2 linked regions of the Diceros bicornis minor genome follow. The protein of the gene in region 2 binds, or shares a complex with, the protein of the main gene of each other region. Links are inferred from orthologs where the notes say so. Each region holds a gene or a part of one and is shown on either strand. Other genes may lie near its edges. The genes, in order: UNC13A and RIMS2.

Region 1 (15,319 bases), on a different chromosome or scaffold from region 2:
ATGAATGAAGTACCATGAGCAGCTTCCAGGATGGGCCCTTAACGAGGAGGGCAACTTCCTCCCTTGCCACCTTTCCCTCCCCTAATGGGAATGCAGATATAATGGTGATCCCCCAGCAGCCATCCTGGGCCATGAGGTAGAAGCCACAAGGGGAGAAAGGCAGAGCAACAAGATGGAAGGAGTTTAGACCCTGGTGACTTTGGAGCCGCCACCACAGCCGCAGATATCCACCCAAACATTCCCAGGGTATGGAGATAAATATCCATCTTGTTTACGCCACTGGCCTCTGGGCCCCTCCCAGGGACTCCTCCCCAGCCTTCAGTCCACCACTCACTTCATTGGACTGGCGGATGGTCCGCAAGGGGATCCACACGGTGCCCACCATGGTGTCCCAGATGAGACCCTTGTTCCACACCTCCACCGTCAGTCCCAAATCCAGGCGGTTAATCTCGCTGTGGAGGGGGAGGGGCAGGAGGGGCAAGAGTGAGGGGTGAGACACAGACAGCCGGTTCCCTCACATTAGGATACACGGACAACTGGAGTTCAAACCCAGGCCCGTGAATCCTAGACTGGAGGGTAACACAGTGGCTCTTGTTTCACAGAGGGGAAACTGAGGCCAGAGGACTAAGTGGCATGCTCAGGGTATCACAGCAGAACCAGGGTTCCAGGCTGGTAGGGAAGGAGTGGGGACAGATCTCACATATCTCCTGCCCCCCAACTCGCCTGGCCTTCCTCAAGCCCTCAGACCCTGAGAACGCTGGCTAAGCAAGGAAGAGGTTCACACACCCTCCATGGCTCCCCAGTACCCCAGCATAAGGGCACTCAGGGCCTCCATCCCTCCCCATGTCATCTCTATCCGGTCAAATGGGGATCCTCCTGAGCATGAGATGATCTCCCCTCTAAGCACCGGCCCTGAAGGCCCCACCCTGCAAATTTGCAGATTTGGGGGAAAACCTTAGTGAACGTCCACTCACTGAAGTTACCAAAGATTTATCTTAAGGAATGTTATCCCTGAATGTATCTGTTGACTGACCTGGTCATCCAGTAACTGGCTTTTGGAGAGTTGGGGACCACCCTGTACCTCCCCCCTCAATCTTCCCTAGAATTGCAGGGCCAGCTCCTCCCTTCTTCTCCAGAAGCCCCTCTGCTCCAGGACCCCAGCTCTCGGTTCTCTCGTGGCCTCCACTACCGACTGTCCCCAGCCGGGCTCTGCGCAGGGCCAAATCCCAGCTCTGCCAGATACAGGCTGTGGGACACTGACCAGGCGGCTTTGCCTCTCTGGCCCTGTTTCTTTATCTGTAAAATGAGGATTACAATAGCACCCTTCCTCCTGGGGTCGTGGGCAAAAAGACGTAATCACAACCTCAGAAGAGGGCACGGAGCAAGCTTTGGACCATCATCAGAGTAGATGGGACGTCATATGAGGCCCCGGGGGCTCCAGGTTGAAGGGAGGGTCCAGGTCATGAATTCATTCAGTTATTATGCCAATATTTATTGCGCACCTACTGTGGGCCAGGCCATGTGCTTGGCATGGAGGTCACAGTGGGGACAGAGACCAACTGGGCCCTACCCTCCTGGAGCTCACACTCTGGGGGTAGGGCCAGAAATGTGTCAAAAAATGACACAAATGACTAAAATGACAATTGGTGGCAAGGTCTGAAATTACTCTTCAATTGCAGCTTGGGGTGGCCGTCAGGGAGAGCTTCCCTGAGGAGGTGACACAGCTGAGACCTGAAGATCAAAAAAGAGCCAGTTGGGGGGGGGGGAAGGAAGGAGAGAGAGGAGCAAGTGCAAAGGCCCCGGGGCAGGAACAAGCTGGACTTATTGGAGGAATGGTGCAGAGGTGGGCGTGGCTGGGGCAGGTGAACTGGGAGAGATGGAGGGAGACACTGTTAGGAGGTGCCAGGGGCGGGGTCTGGGAGGGGTGGCTGGGGGGAGGCGTGTGGGTTTTATTCTAAGGTTGACAAGCCACGAGCCGTGGGCAAGTTTGGAGAGTGACAGGATGTGATTTGCAGTTTTAAAAATATGCCCCTGGCTGCCTGAAGGAGCACAGATTGCGGGAGGCAGATGTCAGCAGGAGGCCAGGGTGGAGGCTGGCAGGCAGCGGGGACTTGGCTGGGGGCCTCGAGATAAAGGGAAGAGCTTTGGAGGCAAAGCTGACGGCTGGACGCTGGGCCGAGGGGGAGGGAGGGGAGTCTCAGACGACAGCTGGCTGTGCGGCTCCGCCCCACGGACCAGCGAGGGGCCAGACTGAGCCGGGGTGGGCTGTGCGGCTGGGGCTGGCCCGGGGACTCACAACATGAAGTCCTGCTCCCAGCTGGGCTGGCTTCCCCGCACGGCGACGGTCGTGCTCTTGACATTCTGCACCTTCAGGCTCACGTACGTGTGGAATTTCTCTGCGGTGGTGAGAACAGAGGTCAGGGCAAGGGTTGCGCACCCCCCAGACACCGTCCCAAGCTCCAGACCCACTGTGATCCCCCAGGGGCTGCGTGTGCTTGGCGCCGCCCCAGGTCCAACATACTGCTCCGCTTCTGTGCCTGCCCCCAAGGCCAGCCCCCAGTGCCCCTGCCAGCGTCTGAGCACCAGGGAGGGGCCTCGGTGCAGGGACTCGGTGCATGGAACTTGGCGATGCCTAATCCTGCTGCTTAAAAATGACCACGTTCAATAGCCTTAGTTTTCAGCTGGGAAGACTGAGGCCCCAGAGAAGGGAACAAAATTGAGTATAAGAAACTCCCCTCACCTCTCTGAGCCTCAGTTTTCCCACATGTAGCCTGATCAAAAAGTCCCCACCTTGTTTCTTAGGGTCCTGGGAAGGGCCACTGGCTCAGGGTGAGCCCCACCCCCTGGGGTCTCCGAGGGGGCCAAGGGAGACTGCTGGACCCCAGGCCAAGTCTGATACGCCCCGCGATGGTCAGCAGACGTAGAGACACTTCACTGGCTCAGCCCCCCTCCCCGGTCTCTCCAAGAGATGGTCAGACAGACAGACAGACAGACAACATAGGACAGGGCAGGAATAGACACCACTTACCTTGGGCGCCATCAAACTTGGCTTTTTTGACTGTGGAGAGAGACAGAGACAGGGAAGGGAGACAGGGGGTGGGGAGAGAGAGGCAGGAGGAGAGAGACACAGAAAGAAAGAGACAGAGATAAGAGCAAGGCAAAGATAGAGAGCAAAAGAGACAGAGAGACCAAATGGAAAAAAAAACCAAGATAAAGACAGAGGTGAAATCAGAGACAGAGAAAAGAGACCAGGAGAGGAGGAACAACAAGGAGAGGAAGGAGGCAGGGATGAGAGGGGGAGAGAGAAGAGTCAGACGGGTGCGCACAGGCAGATCTAGGGGCGGAAGGGGATTTGGACCCTGGGAGCAGTCCCTGCCCCTCCGCCTCCCCATCAGACTCCCCACTCCCTAAGCTCCCCCCACCACCCTGAGCTGTGCCTTTACCCACAATTGAACAAGATTCAAAAGAAGGAGCTGTGCAGGTGGCAGGAGAGGCCTCCCACAGGAAGCCCTCCAGGATTGCACAGAGGGAGGAGGGGAGTTGGGGAAGAGGAGAGGGGAGCAGAGAAGAGAAGGACAAGCTCCAACGGCCCCACTCCCCTGTCAAGCTAGAGAGACTTCTCCTCTAATTGTCCAGCTCATTCTGTCATACCAAATGCTCCCAGGGTTTGGGGTCCAGTGCTCAAAGGCGACTGGCGAGGTGGAACAGAACAGCCCAGAGAGCTGGCTCCATCGTGCACGTAGAGACATCCCAGAACTGGCTGGGAGGTGGTTAGAGCTTGTCTAGCCCAACGCGCCTGTGAAAAGCGTAACCCGAGTAGATTTCAGGGCCCCTGCGGTCCAGTTTCTCAGGTTTCACATAACCCCACAGCCCCGGGTGATTCAAAGAAATTCTCCTCTGGCTTTTCTCCCAGGATATTAAACTTTCACTGTCAACATCTCTGGCACCCTGCAGCTGCACCCAACGTCTCTCTCCACCATTCCCTCTCAACCCCCAACCAAAGCGTGCTCCCAACAGAACCCTCTTCTCCAGCTCTCCGAATTTCTTTCCCTTTTCCCTTTTCAAATGAATATTTTCATTTGCATAGGCAATACATGCACATTTTATAAAATCCAAAGCAGGCAAAGATGATACAATAATAAGGCTCATTCCACGCCAGCGCCCACCCTCCCTCGCGGCCACACGACCAGCCCCTGTGGACCTGGGGAGACAGCCCGGGCCTCGGCAGTCACGCGCACAGGCACGGGATTCCATTTCCTGCACAAAGGACAGCCTCCTGTGCCCTCTGAGAAGCTTTGTTTCTCAGTATGTCTTGAAGAGTGTGTGCAAGTGAGTTGAAAGATAAATTCCTAGAAACAGAACTGTGTTTCTGTTCTTTTTTCTCTTTTGAGAGTCAAGTTTGGTCTTTTTCTGGGCAAATGCTTCGGCCTCCCATCTCCAGCTGGCATCTCGGCCTCCATCACTTGACTTTCTGTCTCGAAAAAGCACCTGAATGGAGCCCACGATGAGAGAATTCCCATCACATCGGGGAAGCGGCGGGGGGCGGACTCTAAACACTTGTCAGTAAATACTGTTTGTTCCCAGCACAGACAGGCAGTGTGCATGTGCACGTGTGGGAGTGAGTGGGGTTGATGCCCAGAAGCACTGAGTGAGCTCCCCAAAGTTTCAGAGCAGGAGAGGGAACAAGCACCTTACGATGCCAACACCAACCTCCCCCGAAAAGACCCGTAAATGCAAATGGACTGGGCATCACGCCCTTCACACTTGGGTCTGGATTCGGGAAGTGGGACGCAGATGGAGCCCTGGCTGGGCACTGGAGAGGTGGGCACGGGTTCAGCGTGCGGTCAGGTGGAGCTGAGTTCCACTTATGGTGCTGTGTGACTGCGGGCAAGTGAACCTCCCTCTCTGGGCTTCCATCTCTGCCTTATTCCATCTCTGTCTCTATCTCTCCCTGTTTTTCTAGGTCTGGCCTTCTCTCTCTCTCTCTCTCTCTCTCTCTCTCTCTGTCTCTCTGTCTCTCTCTCTCCCCTCTGTTTCTTTCCCCCACACCCAAAATCTGTCACCATGTCCTGTCTTCCTCACTTTCCCACTCAAGGTACATGACTACTTGTGCAAAGGCCCCTCTCTGGACATATGCTCAGCCTCTGTCCCACTGACCCTTTCTCATACCCTCAGCCCCACCCAGCACACAGGGAGCTCACCCCCCAGCCCCTCACCCCTGGAGCACTTAGGACTGTGCCCAGCAGGAGGGAGAGACACAGACAGAGGCTGAAAGGCACACACACAGAGGGACCAACATGGGGAGAGAAGTGAAAAGGAGGGAGGAAGAAGTAGGGGGATAGGGGATAACAAGACATGAGAGTCAGAGACACAGAGAGACAGAAGAGAGAGAAACACAGATTTCCAGGCAGGGGAGACACTGCGGACACGAGAGGCAGAAGTAGGAGAGAAAAGTTGAAGGGGGACCCTGAGGGCGGTAGGTGCCAGGCCCTGGGGGGATCCGAGGAGTGGGCCCCACCCTGCAGCTCCTGCTCTGCGTTCCCTTTTTACAGACCAGAGACAGGGCTGAGAGGGACAGCCAGTCCACCAAGGACTGTCCTCCATCCTCTCCTCTGGAGGGAGGGTCTCCCTGTCTCCCTCCTTCCAGTTGTTTCTCTCCACTCTGTCATTGTCTTTCTGTCTCTCCTTCCCTTCTCCCTCTATCTCTGTCTCTCTGGTCCCCACTCCCTCCGTCTACCCCCTTTCCTCCTCCCTAAGCCTCCGTGAGCCAGAGGGTAATGGGCTTGTTGGGGTCCACCGGCAGTGGGGGTTGCTGGAGGGCCCTAGCTCTAACAGCTGAGGCCAGGCTCAGGTCCTCAGGACACTTCAGGGAGTCCAGGGTAAGGAGACCAAGGTATGTTCATCATCGAGGACTCACAGGGAGGAGGGGGAGACACAGGGTGAGAGAGGGGGTCCAGAGAGGTGTGGGGAATCAGGGAAGGGGGCTCAGAGTGGGGAGGAGATCTCAGGGGGGTAGGGAGCTCACCGTGGGGTATGGGGGATGGGGGATGGGGGAGGAGGGGCGGGACTAAGAGAAGGGAGCTCTGAGGGCGGAGTAGGCTCAGGGTGGGGGAGCGGACGCAACAAGGGAGAGGGCACAGAGGGGCAGGTGGTCTCAGGGGAGGGGTCCAGGGAGGAGAGAGCTTGGAGGAAGGAGGGGGCTCAGGGAGGGGCCCATGGGGCTCAGAGAAAGGACCTAGTCTCTCTTCCTCTCTCTTCCCCGTCAGTAAGCAGAACCCTGTCACTGTCGCCTTCACCACCTTCGTCATCACATCCCCGCCCTGCCACCTTCCCCCGCTCACGGCGGGTTGCAGTATCGGGGTCACCGGGGCGGAAGCGCCACCCCTCCCGGCGAGCTCCTGGTCACACGCAGGAAGCTATTTATAACGAGACTCTTTATAACGTGGGCGCGGAGGGCGTGGCCGATGCGACGGCGGGGAGTGCGGCTGGGGGAGGCACCCACCGCCGGCTCTCTGACGGGCGCCAGGAGACGCCACGTCACGCCCGGTCAGCAGCCTGCGCGGCCTCCGCCGTTCCCGGGCCCCCGTCAGCGCTGCGTGATTAACATGGTTGCACAGGCAGATGCAGATGCTGGCAAGGGCAGAACCGGTGGAGGCGGGAGCAGGGACTCAGGCTCCGCCACGCTCTGGGTCTCAGTTTCTGCATCCGGGAAATGGGGCGAGGTAGGGCTCATCGGTTTCACTTCCCTCTCCTCCCCTTCCGCCTCCCCTCTTCTTCCTTTCTCTTTCTCCCTCTCCCCTTTCATCTTCTCATTATTGGCATCTTCGTTATTACACTATCATTACTACGATTATTATTACCCTTAACATGACTAGTGTCACTATCGTTTTTATTATTTGGTTGGTTTCTCAGTGCGCCCCTAGCCTGGCCTGCCCTGGACTCTAACTGAGGTGGGCTCCAATCCGGGAGCACCTGGCCGGTGGCCTGCCAGGCCGGGGTGGGGGTGGGGGAGTAGAGGATCCCGCCATCAAGGGAAGCAGTCCGAAAGCCCCCTGCAGGACACGCTCACTGAGTGTCAGAAGACACTACAAGGGGGAGGGGGGGAAGCATAGAGAATTCAGACACAGATTCTAGGACGCTTGGTAGTTTCCTATGTGATGTCGATGGCGGGCATGCCTTTGTGATAAAGACATTGGCCCCGGGCTTTGCGTCTGAGGGAGATGCATCTCACGGTCCATGGGCAAAATGAGCCACAGCCCACATGAAGCCTCTGTGTGAGAAACAAACACGCCAAGCTCCTCGACAGGGGTGTCTGTCTCTGTTGTCTACCAAGCACCACTTAGAACTAGGCTTGGCACATAGTAGGTGCTCACAAATAGCGTTCACTGACGGAATGGCGTCATGTCCTCCTGCAGCAGCCCTGCCCTGAGACCCAGACCCCGAGGCGCAGGCGCTGTCCGCGGTCCTGTAATCGCCTTCCCTGCGCTGTCCGCGGTGCTGAACTCTCCGTCCCTGCCCGTGTTCCTCCAGTGAACTTGGCACCTCTTTTGTGCGCCCCCCCTCCGCCCCCTGTGTACTACTGAGCCCTCCTCAGGCTTGAGAACACAGTGAGCTCCCAGGAAATGTTCTACACCCACGGATCTCCTTCCAGAAAGCTTTTAGTCCCCATTAATAAAAACATCATCATTGATTTTTCCTGTCTTTGGCTCACACTTATTGAACTTTTCCACAGAGCAGGCATCGTGCCAACGGCTCTGCGTGCCTCATCTCACTGGACAGTTCCAGCAAACCTAGGCAGTAGGTGCTATGCATGTGCCCATTCTAGAGATGGACACACTGAGGAATGAAGAGGGTATGGGACTTGCCAGGAAGTGGTGGATTTAGGGATTCAAATCCGGACCTGCTGGACTGAGGATGTCGTGGTTGCAACCTCACAGAGGAAGTCCACTGTATGTGGGAGGAAAGTGGGGTTCATGTTATGGAAGCAGCTAAGATTGCTGCCCTGAAGATGAATCAGAGCCAACCCTGCAGGGCATCCTATGAGGATGGTGAGACCAAAGACCCAGATGCACACCCCACTGACTGAGTGGTATCAGAAGCGGGGCAGTCAGGACAGAGGGATTTGTGAAGGGGGAGAGGAGCAGGGGAACAGCCATGATGAGTGGGGAGATCATGACATGTTTGTTTACTGAGTGGATGAAGTAAGGTGATCCCAGGACAGATTCTCAGCCCCCGGAAGGGACTTGGGTGTCTCCCAGGTCCTGGGGGTGAGAGGACGCTCCACTTTCACTCCCCACTCCCAGTAGGTTGTGAAGCCAGGCAGATACACCTCTGGCTCTGTGGCACCAGGCAAGTTGTTGAATCTCTCTGAGCCTCAGTTTTTTTCACCTGTAAAATGGGTTGCTGTGAGAATTAAAGAGAGCAATGAGCCTAAAAGCCCTCAACACTGTGCCTGTAGAATGAAGGATAAGTGGGGGTTGTTGTTGATATTATTATTAGTTGTGGGGCAAACTCACTCTCACATGCAATCACTAATTTGCATGCAATATCCATTTATCAAATATTTCTGGGGCCTTTAAAACATTGAGTGACCTGGCAAAATGCTGTGAGGCACATAGAAATGTCTAGAACTGAATCTCCACCACCACGATTTTTCACACATTTCCCTCCACCTAGACAACCATCTCCTTTCTGCTTAGCTCCCCCTCATCTTCTGAGACCCAGGCAAATGGTGGTGGTGGTGCGGAACAGGGAAGGCTCTGTACGGCCCCTCCCTGGCTCCCCAGCCCTTCCTTGCCCCTCCCACTCTGACCCACCAGCATAAGCCCAGGAGTGGTCAGGCTTCCCAGAGTCAGGTACAGTGCCTGGCACATAGTAGGTGCTCAACTAATGCTTACTGAGTAAATATACAAATGAACTCATGAAGGAACCAGGTGGTGCTTGGCATTTGCAGCCTCAGAACTCTGCCAAGACCTAGCGAGTGGATGGGGGCCGGTCAGCAATGGAACTCCACCGAGATAAAGAAACAAGTGGGGGAAGAGAGAAGGCCTGTACATGGTGGGCTTCCATGTGTTGTTGCAGGGCACGCACGCAAGAGCCTGCTTTTGTGTGCACTCACATGTGTATTTGCTCCTCTTACCAGGGCAGGCATGTGTGTGGACATGGGGGTGTGCCTGTGTGGAGGGACATGTGCTCATGAGCACCATCTGAGAGCAGGCAAGGCTCTGCACACGTGCGCGGGGGAGTGGGGTGTGACTGTGTGTGGGACACGCTGGCATGGTATGTGTGGGCTTGCGGGTGATGTGTTAGGCAGAAACACACTTTGGGGTATGTATATGTGTGTGCTATGCAGTTGTATGGCATGTGTATTTGTTTACTTGCATACATGTACATGCTCATGTGAGACTATGTACATTAGCATGTGTCTGTGTGCATCACCATTTGCCTGCTCCAAGGGGCTGCTCCAAATGTCCAGGCAAGTGTTGTTGTGTGTACACACACGTGCCTCAGCAGGGGTTTCTGTGCACATGCGTGTTTCTGCATTTGGAGCCCTAACAGGTATACATGGGTACATGCCTGCAAGTTAGGGCATGAGCAGATCTTTTTTTTTTTTTTTTTTTTTTTTTTGGTGAGGAGATCAGCCCTGTGCTAACATCTGCCAATCCTCCTCTTTTTTTTTTTTCCTGAGGAAGACTGGCCCTGGGCTAACATCCGTGCCCATCTTCCTCCACTTTATATGGGACGCCGCCACAGCATGGCTTGACAAGCAGTGCATCGGTGCGTGCCCGGGATCCAAACCGGTGAACCCCAGGCCGCCGCGGAGGGCGCACACTTAACCGCTTGCGCCACCGGGCCGGCCCCTGCATGAGCAGATCTTTATGTGACGTGGATATCGTGAACACATCAAACACATGTGTTACATCCTTGTGTGTGCACGTGCAGACACACACGCTTGCATTGCAGAAGCCACATCTGTGGTGGCAGACTGCGTCCTGTATACGTGTATGTGTGTGTTCCCACAGGCATGTGTAGTCACAGGCACGTGGTCTTCATGGAGCCTTGGTGGATCCTAAGCATTTCTGTCTGCACAGGGCGAGTCTGGGTATGAATGTGCCAGCCCACGTGTGTGCAGGGACAGGCAAAGTGGGTGGGCCCCTGCTTCGGGGGCCAGGTATTTCCTCAACCCCAAGGATGAGCTCAGATCCATGGAAAGCCCCCTCCAGCCTAGCTCCACTGCTGCCCCTCCCCTCTCCCCTCCCATTCTCCCCCTCTGGGCATCACCCCCACCCCTCCCAGTGCTTCCCCCTCAGCCTCTGCCAGCATTGTACTGCTCCCCTCACACCTCAGGGCTTTACTCCCCACCTCAGCTCCAGCCTCTCCCTCTCAGGAACCCCCTCCACTCTGCTGGGGACTCCTTCCCTGCAAGTTCCACAGAGGCATCCAATACAATTCTTCCCTCAGGCCTCTGTTTCTGGAAGCCTTGCCCTTCTTACCACCCCCCTTCACAACACCCCCGAAGCCCAGCCTCCTGTTTGCGTCAGAGTTAAGGGTGAGATTCCCCCTCCTCACTGAGCAAACCTTCCAGGGGGTGGAGGAATCAGCCAGGAACAACCACACTGGCCCCCTCTTCCATGCTACCCCCCAAGCGCTGGGCAACTTAGAGGAGAAAGAGAGGCCAATAGGGGGCTTGGACGTTCCCCTCCCCTCCCCTTAGGCCTAGTCTAACCCTCCACCTCCCTCCTCCCCTAACTCCATAGGCCAGGGGCTGGAAGAATTGACATTTGATCTTTCCGGCCCTTCTCCCACCACCAGCCCCGCCCGTCGGGAATGAGCTCAGGGAAAGGAGGCCCCTATCCCTTTAAGAACACCCGCGTCCACGCCGGCCCAGCGCGGCGCGATCTGCACCCGGAAAGCTGCGGCGGCGAGGAGCGGGCGGGCGGGGCTGGGTTTGTGAATGGAGAGGCGGAGGGGGAGGGGAAGGAGGGGGAGGGGCGGCGGGGGCGGTGCCCGGCTCCGGGGCGTGCCCACCCTGGTCCAGGCGGAGCCCGGGGTTCAGCTTTGTCGCTCACACACACACAGCACACTCCCGCTGCCTGAGGTCTCCCGAAGCTTGAAATCTCAGGCTTGGCGGGCACACCTCTTCCCCTCCCACCCCCCCACTCCCAGCCTTCTTGAAGGGAGTAGGAGTGAGAGGGGCGGACCTTAGTCCTTAAAACCCAAGGTTGAGATCGCTACAAGCCTTAACTATCTGTTCGCCACCACCCTGCCGCCCAAGGTCTCCCAGAGCCTGCGTTTCGGCAGGAGGGCCCGGGACGCCTGGGTCCTGGTGGGCTGGCTTCTCCCCCAGCCCAGCCTCAGAGGTGGGGGTGATGCCCACCCCCATGGTCATGCCCCTCCAGAGTCTCTCTCCCTCCCCCCACCCCAACGCAGAGCGTGGGCCTGGGCGTGGGCCTCGGTGCAGATGGCGTTCTGGCCCCAAAATAGCTCCACCCCACCTCTCCCCCCTCCCTTCGGCGCAAAGTGGGTGAGGTGAGGATGGGCCGGGAGGGGTGCAGGGGGCACTGCGCCGCCAAGCGGTCGGCTCCCTGCGGAGAAGGCCGGATACGCGGTGCGGCGTGCTAGAGGGGGCGGGGAGGGTAGGCCTCGGGCGGGTCCCCCAGCCCCCACTCGGGAAGTCAAAGAGCTAACCGGAAAATCGCCCCCAGACCGCCAATCACCGCCCTCTCAGGACGTAGGGAGGGGTCTCCTCAGCCCCTTGCCAGTCCTCTCCACACCCAGGGCTGGGGGATTCCTAGAGCTCGCGTTTGCCCAGATGGCCAAGCCCCCTTACCCAAATCGTATACGCTTGCGGCTTGGAGACCCCTCCCCCGGCACTCCTCTTTGAATTCCAAGCCCCGTCCGCGTCCATGAGGACCCACAGCACAGGACTCCTTCCGAGTACCTTGCAGGATTCATTCGAACTACCCAGCCCAGCCCAGCCCCTTCCTCAGAGACCTGCTAATAACCTGGTCTACACAAATGCCCCAGTCTAGACGGTTTCCAGATCGAGCCCCAGATCCCTTCTGGCGTCCACACGGGCCTCCGCGTTTAGCCATGCCCACACGACCCCCGGCAGCAGCCACCAGGACCCCCTGAGAGCCCAGCTGCGTCTACACGGATCACCCCCTCAGGCGCCCTGACTCGTCTACCAGGGCTACCGCCTCAAATGTCCAGCCGAGTGTACTCGGGTCACCCCCTCAGGAGCCCAGCCGCATCCACACGGACCGCGAGCCCAATTCGGATTCCCTCGGTACCCCGCCCCGCAGCCTTGCCTCCTACCTCCAACGCAAAGCAGAGACATGTTTCCGGAGTCGCCGGCGGGCCGGCTCTGTCAGGTCGGGCTCAGCGGGCGCTGGGCTGGGTCATGGCCGGGGCTGCAGCCCGCGCTCGGCTCACGCCGGGGCCCGGCCTCCGCCGCCGGCCATCTTGGTTCAGCACCGGGGCGCGGACAGCTCCTGACGTGGCGCTGCTGTGGGGCCGGCGGGCGGAGCCCAGGGACGCCTGATGGGGCGGGGGCGCCGCAGGCTGGGGGGGCGCTCCCCGCCCGGAGGGACGGAAAGCAGCCTCCACGCACGTTCCCTTCTGGTTCTGCGTGTTCTCGTCTCTCCTCGAGTCGCTCTGCGGGCCCTCCGGCTCTCGAGTCCTTTGCTGCCTCTCTGCTCTCCCTGATATCTCTATTCCTCTGTCTCTATGTCTGCGTCTGTCTCTTTGCCTCTGTTCCTCTGTCTCTTTCTCTCCCTGGGTCTCTCTGTTCCTCTGACTCTTTGTCTCCCGGTCTCTCAGTCATGTGTCTCCCTCTGAGCCTCTCTCTGTCCAGTCTCTCTGTGTCTCTGCCACGTCCTTTCTAGGTCTCTGTGTCTCTGTTTCACTCTCTCCAAGCCATTCAGCCTGTGAATCTTTGCACACACTCAGACTGGGTCCCATCCTTCGCTCCCTTATGTAACTGGCAAAGTCCTATTCATCCATCAATGCCCAGTTTGAACATTCCCTGCTCCAGGAAGCCTTCCCTGACTCTCTCACACTGAGCCTTTACTCTACCTTCTGGATTCCCCCAGGCCCCAGCCCTTCCTCTGGTCTGGCCCCGACTCCCCCCGACACAGCTCTGCTCCGAGCCTTCTCCACGTATCCAGCTGGGCAGTGCCATGTGGGACAGCGCCCTGCAAACCTGTGGACGGTGTATCTCCAGTGCCTAGAGCAGCGCCAGAGGCTGAGCCCTGCAGAGCTGCCGCCCCCAGCACACAGGAAGGAGGTGCATAAACACGGAATGTACAGGGAGTAGTTGCAAGTGAGGCCTGTGTTCAAAACCCAGTTCTGCTTCTAGTCACCAGCATGACCTTGGACAAGTCATGTGACCACTGTGCCTCAGTTTCCCTCTCTGTAGAATGAGGACGATAACAGGACTTGCCTTACAGAGTTACAGGAGAGATTATGTAAGTTGACACCTGAAATTGCTTGGAATAGTAATGAATAATGTTAACCATTGTTGTAACTCTCACTGATTTTGTGTTTCTTGCTTATCGACTAGCTATAGGTAAGGACTAAGGAGCAGCAATGACAGGCTTGAATAAAGAACATCACCGTTGCAGCAGAAACCCGTGGGCCTCTCCCCTATCTCTTTGTCCCTCCCCTCAGAAAGAAGAGCTACCCCAGATTGTGTTTTTTAATCCCTTAATTTTCCTTAGAGTTTTACCCCATATTATTTATCAGCAAACAATACATGGTTTGGTTTTTTGTGTTTTTGAACTTTATGTGAGTAAAATAAAATGTTCACATTCTTTACTGACCTGTTTTGTTTGCTCAACATGATTCTGCTGATATTCATCTGAGTTTCTGTGGGCAGCTGTAATATATGCATTTTTCACTGCTGTATAGTATTCCTCTGAATGAGTACACCAGTGATTATTTATCTGTTCTCCAGTTGGTGGACCTTAAGATTGTTTACACTTTGAGTTTATCACAAATGAAGCTTTTATGACCATTCTCAGAAGTGCAGGCTGGTGCACACAGGTAAGGATGGCTGGATCATAGGGCAGCCACCTGCTCAGCCACACAAGATAACACCAAATTGTTTTTCGGGGCCATCCCGGTGGCACAGTGGTTAAGTTCAGAGTGCTCCACTTCAGCGACCGGGGGTTTGCAGGTTCGGATCCTGGGCTTGGACCTACACTGCTCATTGAGCCAGTCCTCCTCCATATATGTGTAAATATACACATATATGTATAGTTTCCGTGTGGTTCCAGCAGTTCACAGTGTCCAGCACCACATAAGAGCTCCTTTGTTCCACAGCCTTGCCAACACTTTGAATTGTCCAGGTTTTTGATTTGTGCCAAAGTGGAGGGGTGAAACAGTGCCACATTTTGGTTTTGATTTGCTCTCTGATTGTTCATGAGGTGGAACTTTTTATGTGATTATTGATTTCTTCATAGGGTGAAATGCCTGTTCAAGTCTTTTATTCATTTTTTAAAATTTGACTGTCTTTTCCTAATGGATTCGTAGTTCTTCATCCATGTTAGATATGAATCCTTTGTTGGTTTCGTGTGTTGTAAAAATCTCCAGTTTTGTGGCTTGTTTTGATTCTATTTATGGTGTCCTTTTCTGAATGGAGGCTCTTATTTTTTTAAATAAACTTTTTATTTGGGGAAAATTTTCGACATACAGAAAAGTTGCAGAGGTACAGAGCTGTGACAGGGACAGAGAGTTCCTCTATACCCCTCACCCAGCTTCCCTAATGTTAACATCTTGTGTGTGGTTACATGTCAAAATGAAAACCCAGACACTGACACCTTAGTAACGGAATTGCAGACTGCATATCTCACTAGCCTTTCCACCAATGTTCTCCCCCTTCCAGGATCTAGCTCAGGATCCCACATCGCAGTTAGCCATCTTATCTCCTTGGTCGCTTCCTATCTGTGAGTAAGGCCTTTCCTGTTTGTCATGACCTTGATGCTTTTCAAGAGTACTGGTCAGGTATTTGTAGACAGTCCCTTGATTCTGGTTCAGCTAATTGTTTTCTCATTATTAGACTGGGGTTCTGGGGTTTGGGGGGAATATCACAGAGATGGGGTTCCCTTCCGGTCATATCACATCAGAGGTCCCTGTTGCCCACATGACATCACAGGGGGCGTTAACTTTGATCACCTGGGTAAGGTGCTGTCTACCAAGTTTATCCACTGTCAAGTTATTATTTTTCCCTTTCCCTACTCTGTTCTTTGTCAGCAAATCACTAAGTCCAGCCCACCGTCAAGGGGAGGGAATTATGCTCCACTTCCTGGAGCAGAGT
Region 2 (14,951 bases):
ACGCTAATCAGAAAGATAGTGAAGTAATTAGGGATGCAGCATCATCAGTACACAGCTGATAGTAAGCTTTGCATCTCCTTTCATCAGATCTAGGATGCGGTTTCTTGAATTTCACAGTGTCTGGCAGAGTAAAGGACATGGACGAAGGCAGTTGGATCAGGCACCATCTAGATAAGACTAAAGCAATCCTCGCAGGCAGAGGGAGACATCTGAAGTACACAGCAGCCAGTTCACAATGCGGAAGACAAACCCTCTCCTTTTCTCTGAAAGCCACAATATTGTGGGAAATCTTGGATTGCAGGCTATTCCTAACTGTTACATTTGGGCCAAGACTTCTACAATCACTTCCTATATGCTTTCAAATAAACAACTATGATCTTTTCTTCTAGTTGGAAAGCTTGCTATAACTTGATCTTCTTGCACTGTATTTCAGCCTTTGTTGATGACTTCTATATCAATTACTATCCTTGTCTTACAAATCCTAGGCAGTTTGATTCATTTTTGCCATGAGTCTTCATTAAAAGATGGGCTCAGTATTCTTGGTATTCCTATTAGTAATTTCTGGATTCCAGCTGGGGTCAAAATCTTGTCCTAGGGAAGAATATAATCTAATCAGAGTGATTTACTCTTTTCTTTTTAATTTACTCTTTTCTAATGGAGAATTCATTAACTCTATTTCAACCAAATTTATTAAATGTCTAGCATGTAGTATGTAATTACAAGATGGTTATGACAGACTTTTACTCTAGGAACAAACCATTTGAATTTTATAGATTTTCTAAACCCATTACATATTGTGCATCTGAGCTTAATTCGTATTACACTAAATATAGCATGGCCACAAAATTTGAGGTGCAAATTGGGACACTTTTGAGAGTGAAAGGAGTTGCAATTAATAACTATATCTGATCAACAGATTAAACAAGAATTGTCCTAGGCAAACTGGGACAGTGTCAGGCAAATGGGATCATATTGTCACCTTAACTAAACATTCGATTCTGTTGTAATTGTTTTTTTGCATTTTAAATATGATAGTTTTTAGGGAGCAGTTTGGGTTAAATCTAACTATTTTATGATGCCTATTATATTCCAGACGCTGCAGTAAAAGCGTACTTAGATTTTAGTCAGGGAAACAGAATATATACATATAACCATATTAAGCAATTATATACAGTGGATTGAATACTGGACACGGAGCCAGGAGACCTAGATTTGAAAATTTGCCTTGAAATTCAGTCTCTTCCTTTGATCAAATCACTTAATCTCTCAGGCTGTTTTCTTACCTATAAAATGGAATGATACTAATTCTTTATAGGGTGGTATGAGAAGGTGGTAAAAAATGTGAAAGCAGCTAACATAGCTAACATAACAAACAAATGCTTGATAAAGGGTTATCTGAGTTTGTTGATTTCCTAGTTTAATGAAAGGCAGCCAGAGTGGAAGTTAGAGACTCTTATTCTCTTCCTAAAAACTTGTATTATGAAGAATTTTTTACTACCTTCCATGGCCAGTTTTGCCTCATTCATACCCCCATCCATATTGTTTTGAAGCAAATCTCAGATATCACATAATTTCATCCATAGGTATTTCGGTATGTATAACCAAGGATTCTTTATTTTTTAACATCATCACTATATCATTATTAATCTAAAAAACCCCAATAATTCCCTATTATCATCAAGTACCTAGTTACTGTCCACATTTCCAATTCTCTTATAAAAGTTTTTTCCAGTTTGTTTTTCTTTAAATCAAGGTCCAAATGAGGTCTACCAATCCTTGCACTTAGTTGATGTCTTTTAAGTTTCATTTAAATTATAGATTCTCCCTCCATCTCTTTATTTTTTCCTTGCAATACATTTGCTGAAAAAACTGGGTTTTGTCCTGTAGAATGTTCTGTAGAGTGTTCCACATATTGCAATCCTATGGTACAGTTTAATATGTTCCTCTGTTCTCAGTATTTCCTGTAAATTGTAGGTGGATCTAGAAGATGTTCAAATTCAGGTTTGATTTTTTTTCTTTTTTTGGCAAGACAACGTCACAAGTTGTGTTGTGTTCTTCCATCGGAAGCACATAATGCCAGGTTGATTATCTTTTATGATGTTAGCAGCTATTGCTATTTAATTGATATTTAATGCCTAGATCTATTTGTTCATTATGGGTTTTTAATTTATTTCTGATCTCATAAAAGTCACTTTTTTTTTTACTTCTGTAAGTGGTCAGAGTTGTAATTAAGACGAAGATGTAATTAAGGAAATAGTAACATTGTTATGTCTATATGTCCCAACCTCTAATATTGTCCTATTTCACTTTAAAGATGTGCTCATTGATTGCTAGGAGGGAACAAAAAATAGAAATAACTTTATAATGCTATAAATGAAAGATGACTAGAATATGGTTTTCCCGGATCCTTTTAATATAAATGGCTCTATGGTTTTTATGACATAATAATTAAAAAATAACATCCTATATTGCTAAATACACAAAAAATAATTAATAAAACTTATCTACACTAACATCCACTACATTTTTCATTACTTCTTGGCCTCAAATCCCAATAATTAAACTGTACTAATCTCTAGCTTCTTTTCTAGAAACAAACAATGTATTCTTTCTCTGAGGCTGTGCTCTTCTGTTATCACTAATGTAACACTGTTATTTTAATTTAAAATGACAGTACAGTCCTATAATCATAGCTAAGCACTTTGAGTTACTTTTCCACTTACACTGAATAACTTTTGATACACCAGTCATATTCTTCCACCCTGGTCAAGCAATAACATGCTGTCATCTGACAACTGGCAAAGATTAACAGTCAGCTGTGGCCACTGCACTGACTGACTCACCCAGGGATTTAAACCATGACCTTGGCCTCATTATCATGCTGTTATAATCTACTGAGAAAAAGAGCCAGAAAAATAAAATATGAAGACAGGAAGTAAAAAATTCTGCTATTTGTGTCTCCAAGCCTAAAGTACTGCACATCTGTGTCCTTTCAGTAATTCTATTAGCGGGTGTTTTAGATATGGATGGGGAACTAAAGGCAGAATATTCTCCTGAAAATCAAAGCTGATCATGTCAGTTCTCTGGCTAAGAAAACCTCCACTGGCTGTCTAATGACTGTAGGCCAAGTTCAAATTCTTCAGCAAAACATATAAGGTTGTAGCATAATCTTGCCACAACCTATTTCTCCAGGTTTATCTCTTGCTACAACTCCCTTCCTCCTTCTCTTCATACTCCAATAATGGTGATTTTTTTCATTATTTTGTGACTGCTCATGTAATTGTGCAGTGTATATTTATTGAGTCCCTATAATATACAAGACATATGGCCTAGGGGATAGGCCTTGGGGAAACTGGAGTGAAAGGCATATTTCTGGCCCTTAAAGGATTCATGGTCTAGTTGAAGAGACAGACAAGGAAATGAATGGCTACACCACTGTGTGACAAGTGCTATCTGTGAGCAAGGTATGTGCAGTGCTAAGAGAGCCTGGGGCAAACAGGTGGAAGGAGGAGAAAGGGAGGGATGAGCATATGGTGGAGAAGACAAAGAAGTTAGCTGACTGAGAGGAAGGTTATGGGAGAGTGAGTAGAAAAGGTGAGTCAAGCTGAGGGAATAGAAAGTCACAGAGATGAGAAACCACACATCCAGTAAAGTGCAAGTAGGTTGTCATGGCTGAAGAGAGAGATGTGATGGTAGGCTGGGTTGGAGATAAGGCTACAGAGGTAGGCAGGAGCTGAATCCTAAAGGAACCTATATCCCTTGACAAAGAGTTTAGATCTCACTTCTCTGCACCTGTGCTTCCCTCTTTTGAGAACGCTTTTTCCTTTTCTCCCGCCCAACTTAAACCAATAATGATGACAAATTCTCTCCCCAGAAATTCATTGAACAAGTATTTGTTGGAACACCTACTATGTGCCATGTACTGTCCTAGGTGCTTGGGATACATTAGCAGAAATCCTGCTCTATGTGCTTATATTCTAGTAGGGTGAAGTTGATGAGTAATAATAAACATAGTAGGTTGGGATATTATTCAACTTGGAGTAAAAGTAAAGTTGTCAGAGAGTGGCAAGTGCAAGGGAAAAAAGAAAAAGTAGGGTAAGGTAAAGGATGTCGGAGTGATCATGGAGTGGGTGGGGCAGGCTGGAGTATTAAATAGGAGGGATAACTGAGCAAAAATTTGAAGGAATATCCAAGTGAATATCTTAGTGAAGAGTGTTCTAGGCAGAGGAAACAGCTAGAGGAAATCCTAAAAGAAAGTAGTAAGAGATGAGGTCAGAGAGATCATGTGAGACTTGTAGGTCATTTAAGGAGGTTAGTTCTGACTGAGTGAAATGGGTAATCACTACAGGATTTTGACCAGTGGAGTGGTATGATCTGACTAATGTTTTAGGAGGCTTGATCTTTACGTTGTGCTGAGAAAAGACTGTAGAGCCACAATGAAAGAAGCGGGGAGATCTGTTGCGAGCAACCATAGAAATGCCAACTATCTATGTATATTCATGTGCAGTAGGAGAGTTGCAATGATTCCAAGCATTGTGAGGCAGCCAGATATCTCAGAAGAGTATTGAGTCCTCAGTAAATTCTAGTGATGTGATTATTTTAGTTTAGATATGTCTCCTATAACGTATTTAGTTGATTACAATTAAGTAGCCCTTACTTACATGTAAAAATGAAAGCCCACAGACTCACAGGCTTCACAAACTTGTGTTCCTATAGAAACTGAAGAAAGGACTCACATTTTGGAATTACTTTGTGGCCTGTCAAGAAGACCTTGAGAATTCAGTGATGAAGATGGCCAGTTACTTTTAAAGTTAAATAAGGACAATGCAGTTTCAACTCAACTTTAAACGTGTTCATGTATTTGAGGTACATACCCAAGTAAAACAATGCCACACAGAATACAGTGAGATGTGATAAACATTTTAGGTAAAATGCTAAACCAGAAAAAACAAAACAAAACACCTCTAAGATTCATATTGTAGTAAAATCAAAAGATAGAGATCTTTTGAAGATATTTCACTTTAGTTCTGAGCATACTATAGAGCATAGCAATGCTCAATCAGAGCATTGGTTATCTTACGTTAAATTGGGCCTACTACATCGAAAAGTAGCCCATTTAAAATTCTGTGTGATATATATTCTATCTATAGGATACATAAATACTGTGGCAAATTTTTATTTTGAAAAAGTGTATGAATCAGGATGGAAGGTGAATTTAAGATACTTCCACTCCCCAGGCTGGCCGGGCGGTGTAGTGGTTAAGTTCATGCGCTCCACTTTGGTGACCTGGGGTTCGCAGGTTTGGATCGCAGGCGTGGATAACGCACCACTCATCAAGCCATGCTGTGGCGGGTCCAATATACAAAAATAGAGGAAGATGGGCACAGATGTTAGCTCACAGCTAATCTTCGTCACCAAAAAGAGGAAGATTGACAGAGGTTAGCTCAGGACCAAGCTTCCTCACACACACACAAAAAGATACTTCCACTCCTAAAGATTCCCTTTAATAGGAAAAACATGTAGTTGTAGTAAAGAAATGTAAAAAGGAAACACAGTAAGAGTAAGCTCACTCACTTCTGCTTCAATCCTGTAAGAAGTCTGATGTTCCAGTGCTCCCGGCTCATGCACATTGTATTTCATATGCTGGGGCTATCTCCGGGGAGGTGAGAGGCAGTGGGAGTGCCAGGAGACAGAGCCATAGACACCCAGCATGCTATGCAACTGGTAGAAAACAGTGCAGGGTCCAGGACGTGACTCTCCACTGTAAAAGAAGCCAAAATTGTCCACTTTGGACAACCACTTTTAAGTTCACATTTTATGTATGTACTCAAAAGAACTAAGCTATTTTAAACTCAGAGTTTTAGCTTCAGAGTAATGTGTGTATTCTGGCTTCTGTTTTTGCCTGAGTTGATAGTTGGCTGGGGGGTGGAGGTGGTGTTACTTCTTCAAATCTGGCTCAGGAATAGTTGAATAAGTTAGAGTGTTCCACCCATCCTTTTTGATTATTTTTAGTTCTGCTCTCCTCTCTTTTAAAGGAGCTCTTAGTGTATTTTAGTAGCACTAAAATAGTAGTAGTAGGGTTTCCTAGGCTAAAGTCTCAGATACATGTATTTACTGGTACCTGTCATTGCACATGAGTGGAAAGGAAAATGTGGATATTATTAGAAAACTCAACATTTCAATTTTAGATAAAAAAAATTCAGTCTCTCTAGAAGTGTTCTTTTTGCTTGTTTTCGACTTCCCAGTTTCTCTTCCATTATCTATTTTGCAGTGCACATAGTGTAGTTCTCAACCTTTGCTATACATTAGTCACTTGGAGAACTTTCAAAACATACCCACCACCAGGGTCTTAACCCCAGAGATTGATTCATTTGATCTAGGATCAGACCCAGGTGATATTTTTAAAAAGTGACCCAGGTAATTTTAATGTGCAGCCAGGGTTGAAAACCGCCATGGTTTCAAATTGGAGTCAAATTATCTAGGTTCTAGTTGCAGTGCTGCCATTTACCAGCTGGCTGATCTTAGTCCTCAATTTCCCATAGAGTGATGAGGTTAGATAAGAGATCTATAAAAATTCTCTAACTCTAAATCAAAATGAAATATATTGGGATTCATATGATCTCATCTAGTTTGCTCAGCTCCAAAGAGATGAAAACCAAATTATTTGGAGTATGTGAGTTTGGTTTGAACCAGGCGAGTAATAATAACACCACAAAATAATAAAAAGAGCTCTTAGGCAAACTTTTCCCTCTTCCCTCTTACCAATTACAAGGTATGGGAGAAAAGAATAGAAATTTAAGCTTAGAAATCACAAGGGGCTTGTAGGGCTGCCTTGTGTGTCCCCAGCTCTCTCACATTGGGAGCTAGTCAGATGGTACCTGGGGAACAGACGGAGGACGGAGAGAGCTTACTACACACCAAAAAGGTAAACATAATACAAACCCCAAAGGCCTTAATCAGGCCATAATCTGGCTTGGTACTAAACAGCGCGAGTGTGGAATGCGGGGTAGGGATGTGTACATATATGTACACACACACACCAACTCTTGTCATCCCCTGCGCTTGCCGAGAGCGCCCAGAAGAGGGGGTGATCCCTGGCGAACAGCCCCCAGCCCGGTCCACTCAGGCCTCGCCTCTACCCTGCCCCGCCCCCACCCGGAGGGATGTCTGGGCGGCGCTCAGCCCCACCGCGAGCAGAAGGCGGCGGCGGCCACTGCCGTTCCCCGGGAGCTGATTTTCCGTCTACCCTCGACCTCTTTCACCGAACCCATCTCTGTGCTTGGAAAACCAGACTCCGACTCTAACCCGATCTCCTCGCTTTTTCTGCTTCTTTATGGACTAGGCCCGCCATAAAGGGTCAAAAGGACCGAAGCCCTTAGCCCAAGCGCCGGCTCATCCTCACTCTCCGAATGATCCTTAGTCCTTGCACCCTCACAGCCTCTTGTCTCCTCCTCATCCTCACACTTCACTCAGACAAACCCTAATTCCCCCAATCTCACCTCCCCACTTCTCCACGCTCTCCTACGTGCTCCCCTCGGTCCCTTTCTGCACATTCTTTCCCAACAGTCCTCGGTTTTCCAGAACTTCCACAGCCCGGTGCCCCACGTCCCCTGCCGCCGCGCAGTGTCCCAGGTCCTCCATATCACTTGCTTTCCCCATTTGCTAGACCTCCCTCTCCCTCCTCTCAGGTAACCCTTTGTGCCCCGCCCCCCATCCCTGGGGACCCCCCTCTCTCCACACTCACGCTCTGCCTCCTTCCAGGACCCCGCCCACGACACCTCGGGAGCCCGTCAACGCGCTCACTCTTTCATCCCCGTGCCCAGATGTCCCCAGATTGTTCCCTCCTTTCCAAAATCCCCGGCGCCCCCAATCCCCGGTCACAACCCATCTCCGGACCTGACACTCTCCCCCCAACCCCCCCCCCCCGCTCCCACTCCTTTACCTCCCGACCTGACCCACAGGGCACTCCCGTCTACCCTGGCTCACAGTCGTTCCCCGCTGCCGACTCCTCGGGCGCCCCTCACACGCTCACATTCTCCACACCCCCGCCCTTGAAAACTCGCCGCCCCCCTCCCCCCTCACACTCTTCCCTCCAACCCCTCCCCGCCTGGCCCCACCCCACAGATCGCGCCCGGGAGGGGCAGTCGCCGCCCGCGGGGCGCCCGCCGTGCCCGGGCCTGGGCAGCCGGGAGGTGACGCGGCCCCCGCGGGAGGAGCCCAGGAGGCGGAGGAGGCGCGGGCGGCGGCACCGAGCGGCGGCGGCGTACGGCGTGAGCCCTGGGCGCCGACTCCACGGACCCAAGGGGCGGCGGCGGCTGAGGGACCCCGGGCGGGCGCCTGATGAGGAGGGACCAGCGCCCGACCCTGCTACGCGTCGGAGCTCGCTTGCTCGTTGGCAGCCGAGGGGCCCTGGCCTCGGGACTCTCCGCCGCTGCCCCTTGTCATCCCTTCTCCGCTTTCGCTTCTCCTCTCTAGCTCGGAGGGATCTCTAGGGGCCGGCCTGGGCTCCGCGGCCGTCTCCCCTCGGTTTCTGGAGGGGTCCTCCTCCGCGGCGCCTGGGAGCCCTGTGACGCGTCAGCCGGCGGGACGGCTGAGCTGCTTCTCCGGGAAATTAGCCCCTGCCTCCTCACTTCCCTCTCCGCTCCTGCCTCGGCGCCCCTCCAGCTCGTGGGACGCTGCCTCCGGGCGCTTAGAGCGAGTTCCCGGGACTCCCCCCGGGGGCCGGTTCGCAGCTACCCCTCTCCCATCCCAGGCGGCGCGCGTATCCCCCGCCCCCGCCGCGGCCGGACACACTCGCGCTTCGGCCGGCGCGCCGCCCTCCAGCCCGCTCCCTTCAGTCACCCCACCCTTAGCGGGCCGCGCCACCTTACTCCACCACCCTCCCCCGCTGCTCCGCGCACTCCGCATCCCGGCCCGGCCTCCTGCTCTCCCCCGCCCCCCTAAACCGCTCACTTGCCAGCCCGTCGCCCCCGGGAAGAAGAAACATTTCCCGGAGCGCACTCTTCAGCCCTCCCTCCCCCCGTGCTCGCCTTCCCCTCCCCCCGGTCTTTCTTTCTTGGGGGAGGGGGGCTGTCGCCTCGGATTGAAGGCCATTGATTTGTATGTATTTGTCCCAGCGCCGGAGGCTGCCCCAGCCGCCCGCGCGGGTGCCGCTGCCGCCGCCGCCCGTGGAGTTGCCTCTCTGCTTCCCTAGCGTGGTTAGGCTCCACCAAACATGTCGGCTCCAGTCGGGCCGCGGGGTCGCCCGGCTCCCACCCCGGCGCCCTCTCAGCCGCCTCTGCAGCCCGAGATGCCCGACCTCAGCCACCTCACGGAGGAGGAAAGGAAAATCATCCTGGCCGTCATGGATCGGCAGAAGAAAGAAGAGGAGAAGGAGCAGTCGGTGCTCAAGTAAGGACCCGGCTCCATCTTCCCGCTTCCCTCCCTGCCCTCCGCCCCCTCGGCCGCTGCCGGCCGCCTGCGCGCCCCGGATCGCCGCCCTCCCTCCCACCGGCGGCGCCTGGGCCACGAGGGCTGCGGCCGGCGGCGGCCGCCGGGGCTGCTTTCTGGGTGTCACAGCGCGGAGGTGTGTGTCGGGGAGGGAGGGCGCCCAGGCCGGCTGAGGTGAGGGTTGAGAGCCTTTGGGCGTTGTAATTTTCCCGGGCGTCCTTCTGGCTTGCCCGGCAGGCCAGTTCGGCTCTGGGGCCGGGTGGGGCTGGGGCTGAACCCAGGCTCAGCGCGTCCTTTCTCCTTTCCCGCCGCCCCCGCGCGGAGCAGTGACTGGGGCAATGAATCCAATATGGCCGTGCACAGGTGCTCCCAGCCCGGGACCTGGCGGAGGCGCGCCGGCCAGGGATGCGGGCGCCGCCGGGGGCCCCTCGTCCCGCGCCTCCGCAGGGCGACTCTGCCCGCGACGCGGAGAAGAGCAGAGCTGCCCACGGTCGCCGCGGGCAGGAGGGCGGCGGTGCGGGCAGGGGCCTAAGCTCTGTCGCGTCTGGGGTGGGTGTGAGGCCGCCGCCATCTTCCAGCCCCTCCCCCTCGGCGGGTTCTAACACCCTGCACTCTTGCTGCTCTTGCTGTTTGCAACTAGTAAATCTGTTTAATCCTGAAGAGACTGTGAAGAGACTCCAGTTCCTACCATTACTGCCGTTGGGGATGCTTCCTACCCTGTGAAGTTCTACTATTCGCGCTCCTAGTCTAGGCAGCCAGGATTTTGCCCAGGGTGGGAGGGTGAAAGCAGCGCCCAGGCAGCGGTTTAGCGGCCGTGTAACTTCAGCACCAGGGAACTGTCCAAACGGATATCTGTAGCTCGGAGACTCCTTGTCAGTTTAGCAGAGATTTGTTTCTGCAGGTTTGCTTTTAAATGTTTTATAGTTATTTGATTTCTCAGTTACTATGTGAAAGAGATTGTGCAGATGTGTAACTTTTTTGTGTTTTTCCAACTCAACTTTTTTTTTTACTTGAAATGAATTAGTCGCTAAGAGATTACCTTGTCCCGTTTGTATGCCAAAGATGGGACGGTTCTTTTGTGTGTTATAAAATATACTTTTCCTATATTCTCCACAGAAACACACAATTGAAAGTGTAGAGTTCCTCTCTGAAGGAACTAACACACTGATATCTTATCATGTAAATTTTAAAAACAGGTTGTTGAATTCAGTATTCTTTAATGCACTTATAAAGAAACGGTTCTCTGTCTCTCTATATTTTCATAGTCTAATGAAAAATACTACTTTAAGTAATTTATTATAGGTGTATCAAATATCTGTACATATTTGAGAGAAATACTGTTTCTCAAAAAATATTGAGGGACTAGAACAAATGTATTCTGACATATTAACTGAAATAAAAAAGAATTGCTTCTTCAAAGCTAATTTCTGAGTTTGAATACTTGTTTGGGAATGTGATTTATTAGTAGGCTTGGGAAATGAAAAAAGGTTAAGAGATTTAAGTAGCTTATTTCAACTAATGGAAGAATAAAGCATTATCTTTAAAAGCTTTTTGAGCATACTCCTAACTTTGCTTAACTTTACTATATATGCTAACAATGCCAAGCTTTTGATGACTTAGAGTTTGGTAATTAGATATATGAATCCGTATTTTTTACTGTAATTGCTGTAAAATTAGTGTTGCCAAAATGAAGCTCAAATAAAATGTAGTTTTATTTCTTTGACCCATGTGTGTATTTAAATATACAATGTGTTTTTCTTCATAATATGCTAAATCGTGGTATTTATTGGCTAGTTCACTATAGTTCCAAATCTATTTATTGTTCTAATATATAGAAATTTAAATGAACTTTTAAGTATTGAATTAAGAATTACTCAAAATGAACAGTATATTAATATAGGAAAATGTTGTGGAAGGGATTTTCAGGTAGCTACATGTGCATATATTACATTTCTATGTAAACCTACATACTATGCAAATACGTATAATGTTTGTGTGTTCATATTTGCACAGTTTAGGTAGAAACAGACATTCTCTAAACATATATTCATACAGTTTATGAAATTACATTGATGAAAAATCTATTCATATTTATTTTAAATATTTATTTGTATTCTACCTAACTTAGTCTTGGAAGGGTTTATACCTCAAAATGGCCTGCATGGTTTCAGAATTATTTTTATATTCATTTAAAAAGAAGTGATTTGGAGGTTAAAGCATGATATATTTGAAAATTTAATTTTGAACATTCTTTAAAAATTCTTTTGGCTTTTGTAATAAGATAGGAGTAGGCAAGGAAAATGAGGAACAGAATAGACTTTATAATGGAATTATAATAGCGACAAATCCTTTTGAAGAATTTGACAATTTATTAAGTAATATATTATCAATATTGGGTATTAAGTTACAAATACTATATGTAAGAAAAAAATAGTACTAGTATTCTTCAATGATTATTATTTCCCATCAAGTTTTAGGGCCCATTTATCTGGTCCTGACTACACTATCTTTTGTTTCTCTTTAGTGATGTACATTTAATTGCATGTTAACATCTATTCTGAGAGAAGGTCATAGGCAGAGAGAAATAAAGTGAAATTCAAATTCATGTCTCCTGCCTTTTAACAACTACTTTAAAAGAGAAATTTGATGTATGAAAAAATGAAGCTGTGGGACGAAAATATTTTTGCATGATCTGTGAGTTTCAATATTTATATCAAGTATTCATAAAAAGTGGAATATGCATGCCTAAGGGCATCAAAGATGATATATTGGAGTACAGGAAGAAAATATTAAAACTTATATTTACATTTCTATTTTTATTTGAAAAAGAAAGAAATTAAGGTTTACTGATACTTAATATATAGATTGACAATATTCAGATGCATTTAATTTATAAATAAATATGCATATATTAAGAGGTTCATGCCTGAGATACTTTTAATGAGATAGGTGAGCCAGCAAAACAGATTGAGACTGCTACAGTAATCTTTCTCTTTAGGAGCCTGAATAATTAAAAACTATTTATATTTAATTATTAGCAATTTCTTCAAAGCCTAGCTGAACATCCACATACCCAGGAAATCTTCTGTCACCATCAAATAATACCATTTTACATGTGAGTGAGATACTAGAATTTTGGAAGCATTTCTATATCTCAGTAGGTCCCTCAATAGATCAGTAATTACTTTTTTTATCCTTACATTAATTCCTTTAACAGTTTTAGTTTGGATAACTCAGTCTATCAGTAAAATCTATAATGTCCTTTTACTGATTAATGTTTTTAAGCTTTGTCTTTCAAGACTGTAAGCTTCTTGAGGGCAAGAATAAAAATGTACTCTTCTTTAGTGTTTGTGTTTTGCAGCATCCTTAACACCTGCACACAGTGGGGGGTACCTAATAAGTGATGTTGGTTTGACTTCTGGTAATGTTAATAATGTAGTAATCAATTTTGTTGGAAAAATGAAGAATAATTTTTTTGAAAGAAAAGCATAATTTTTTAAAAGTTTATATTTTCCAGTGAGGGTTTTTTTTTGGGGGGGCGGTGTGGTATTGTGAAAAAAATGTATGCGGAAACCAAACCCACTGAAATCAATAGAAAAATATTAATTCAGTAAATATTTATTGAATTTCTACTGTGTGCATATCATAGTCTTTTAGATGAGGTGTTTTTGTAACAAATTAGAACTTATGTGTTTCTTGACATGTAAATTATCTTTTCATTCTCAGCTTAGACTTTCTGTAAATGTCAAAGGCATGATTTGATCTCCAAATAAAGGAAGACAACAAATAAAAATTTCTGTGATAGATCAAGGTAATAATTTAGCTTATATTTAAAAGATAGGTGAGCAGTTCTAAATTTTTTTTACTAACTTAATTTTAAAAGTACTTTCCACAGTCAATTTATAAACATCTTTATTGAATAGGTAATATGTAAATATGGTACAAAATTTCTTAGCTACCTGTTTCCCATAGCCAGGGGCAGCTGCTGTTGCCAATTTATTGTATACTCTTCCAGAAATATTTTATGCATAAGAGTAAGTATAGGTGTATATCAGATATTGTGTGTGTCTTTATATGTGTGTATGTGTGTGCATGTACATGTATGGGTGTATATGTGTAAACATAAAAAACACAAGTGTGTCCTGCAGTTTACTTTTTAGGAGGTCAGTTCCATACTCGTTAATATATTTCTGCCTCATGTATTTTAATGGCTGCATAATATCCTATATTATGAATGTTCTTTGTTTAACTAGTACCATATTTTGGGGCATTTAAGTTGATTCTAATTATTTTGCCATTAGAAACAATACTGTGATAAATATCTTTGTACCTATATCATTTCCTGCATGTGTGAATATACCCCTGAGATAAATTCCTAGAAATGGAATTGTTTGGTCAAAAGGTCAGTATATTTTAAATTTTAATAAATATTGAGAAATTTACTTTCATAGAGGAAGTATGCATAAGTGATATATACTAGGGAGACTTTGTCACATCCTTGGTGTGTGATAATCTTTGCCAATATATTGGTGAAAAATATGCCATTGTAGATTTAATTGCAATTTTCTTATTATCAGTGAGGTTGAGAGCTTTTTACATTTGTTTAGAGCCTTTTGAATTTCTTTTTCTATTGGTCATTTTTAATGATTTGTAGGAGCTCTTTATATGTCATTTGTTTTATAACCTTGTTTATGCCTTTTTTTACTGGGCAGGATTTTTTAAAAATGTATGAATTTATTTTTGTTTTACGGTGTTAGGGTTTGCAGTATACTTAGAATGATCCTCCTTATTCTAATATATAAAAAACTACTGCCTTTTCTTCTTATAGCCAAATGAAATTTTAAGAATGTGGCACATCAGATAAATGATGCAATTTAATCATGAAAACTTTTAAATAAAAATCATTATTGTGCATATAAATTACCATGGCCATTGCCAAAAATTGAAAACCTATAGTTTTTAGGGATTCAAAATGCATTCTAAAAAATTGATTGGCATTTTATGAGAAGGTACCTAATAAATTCTTTATATATAGTTTATATTTTAAAGTAACTAGGACAATTAAATAATATCTTTTTGTTGAAAATATATATTGATAAAGAACTAATTATACTGTATGAGGAAGAGAGAGGTAGTGGAGGCAAGTGTGGTGGACCAGATGGATTTTGACTTGAAATCTTACTTTACTAATTAATAACTGTAAGGTCTTGCTTACATTATTAAACTCTCTGAGCCCATGTTTCCTCATCTATGTTATCTGAGTAAGAACACCTACTTTGAAGGATTATTGTGATCAATATAGACTGTTTAAATGTCTTGGCACAAGTGGGTGTGCAATAAATAGTTGTTATTAACTGGTTATAGACAGCAGTCTCTTAATCTTAATATTATCATAGCATTCCTGGGTGAAATCTTCTCTGTTTTATATATATATATTTTGTGTGTGTGTGTGAAGAAGATTAGCTCTGAGCTAACATCTATTGCCAATCCTCCTCTTTTTGCTGAGGAAGATTGGCCCTGGG

Evidence for each region.
Region 1: the proteins of RIMS2 (region 2) and UNC13A are in contact, whole or in part, in a crystal structure (PDB 2CJS), measured with the Rattus norvegicus proteins. The link is inferred for Diceros bicornis minor from reciprocal best matches to the Homo sapiens genes RIMS2 and UNC13A. Residues at the interface, in XP_063118965.1 of Rattus norvegicus: Asp102, Gly103, Cys104, Ser109, Gln112, Val123, Leu125, Ser127, Asn128, Lys129, Val134, Met135, Trp136; in NP_074052.2 of Rattus norvegicus: Tyr23, Ile36, Trp65, Leu69, Ile70, Trp71, Asp72, Thr73, Met74.

The regions. Positions count from the first base shown.
Region 1 is NC_080759.1:5,530,954-5,546,272, forward strand, and holds the start of UNC13A (protein unc-13 homolog A), read right to left. Parts: upstream 7,239-15,319; coding exon 7,232-7,238; intron 7,086-7,231; coding exon 7,070-7,085; intron 6,631-7,069; coding exon 6,503-6,630; intron 3,059-6,502; coding exon 3,029-3,058; intron 2,397-3,028; coding exon 2,297-2,396; intron 453-2,296; coding exon 335-452; intron 1-334. UniProt on the Homo sapiens protein: Plays a role in vesicle maturation during exocytosis as a target of the diacylglycerol second messenger pathway.
Region 2 is NC_080760.1:21,612,558-21,627,508, forward strand, and holds the start of RIMS2 (regulating synaptic membrane exocytosis protein 2), read left to right. Parts: upstream 1-8,797; 5' UTR 8,798-9,214; coding exon 9,215-9,390; intron 9,391-14,951. UniProt on the Homo sapiens protein: Rab effector involved in exocytosis. May act as scaffold protein. Plays a role in dendrite formation by melanocytes.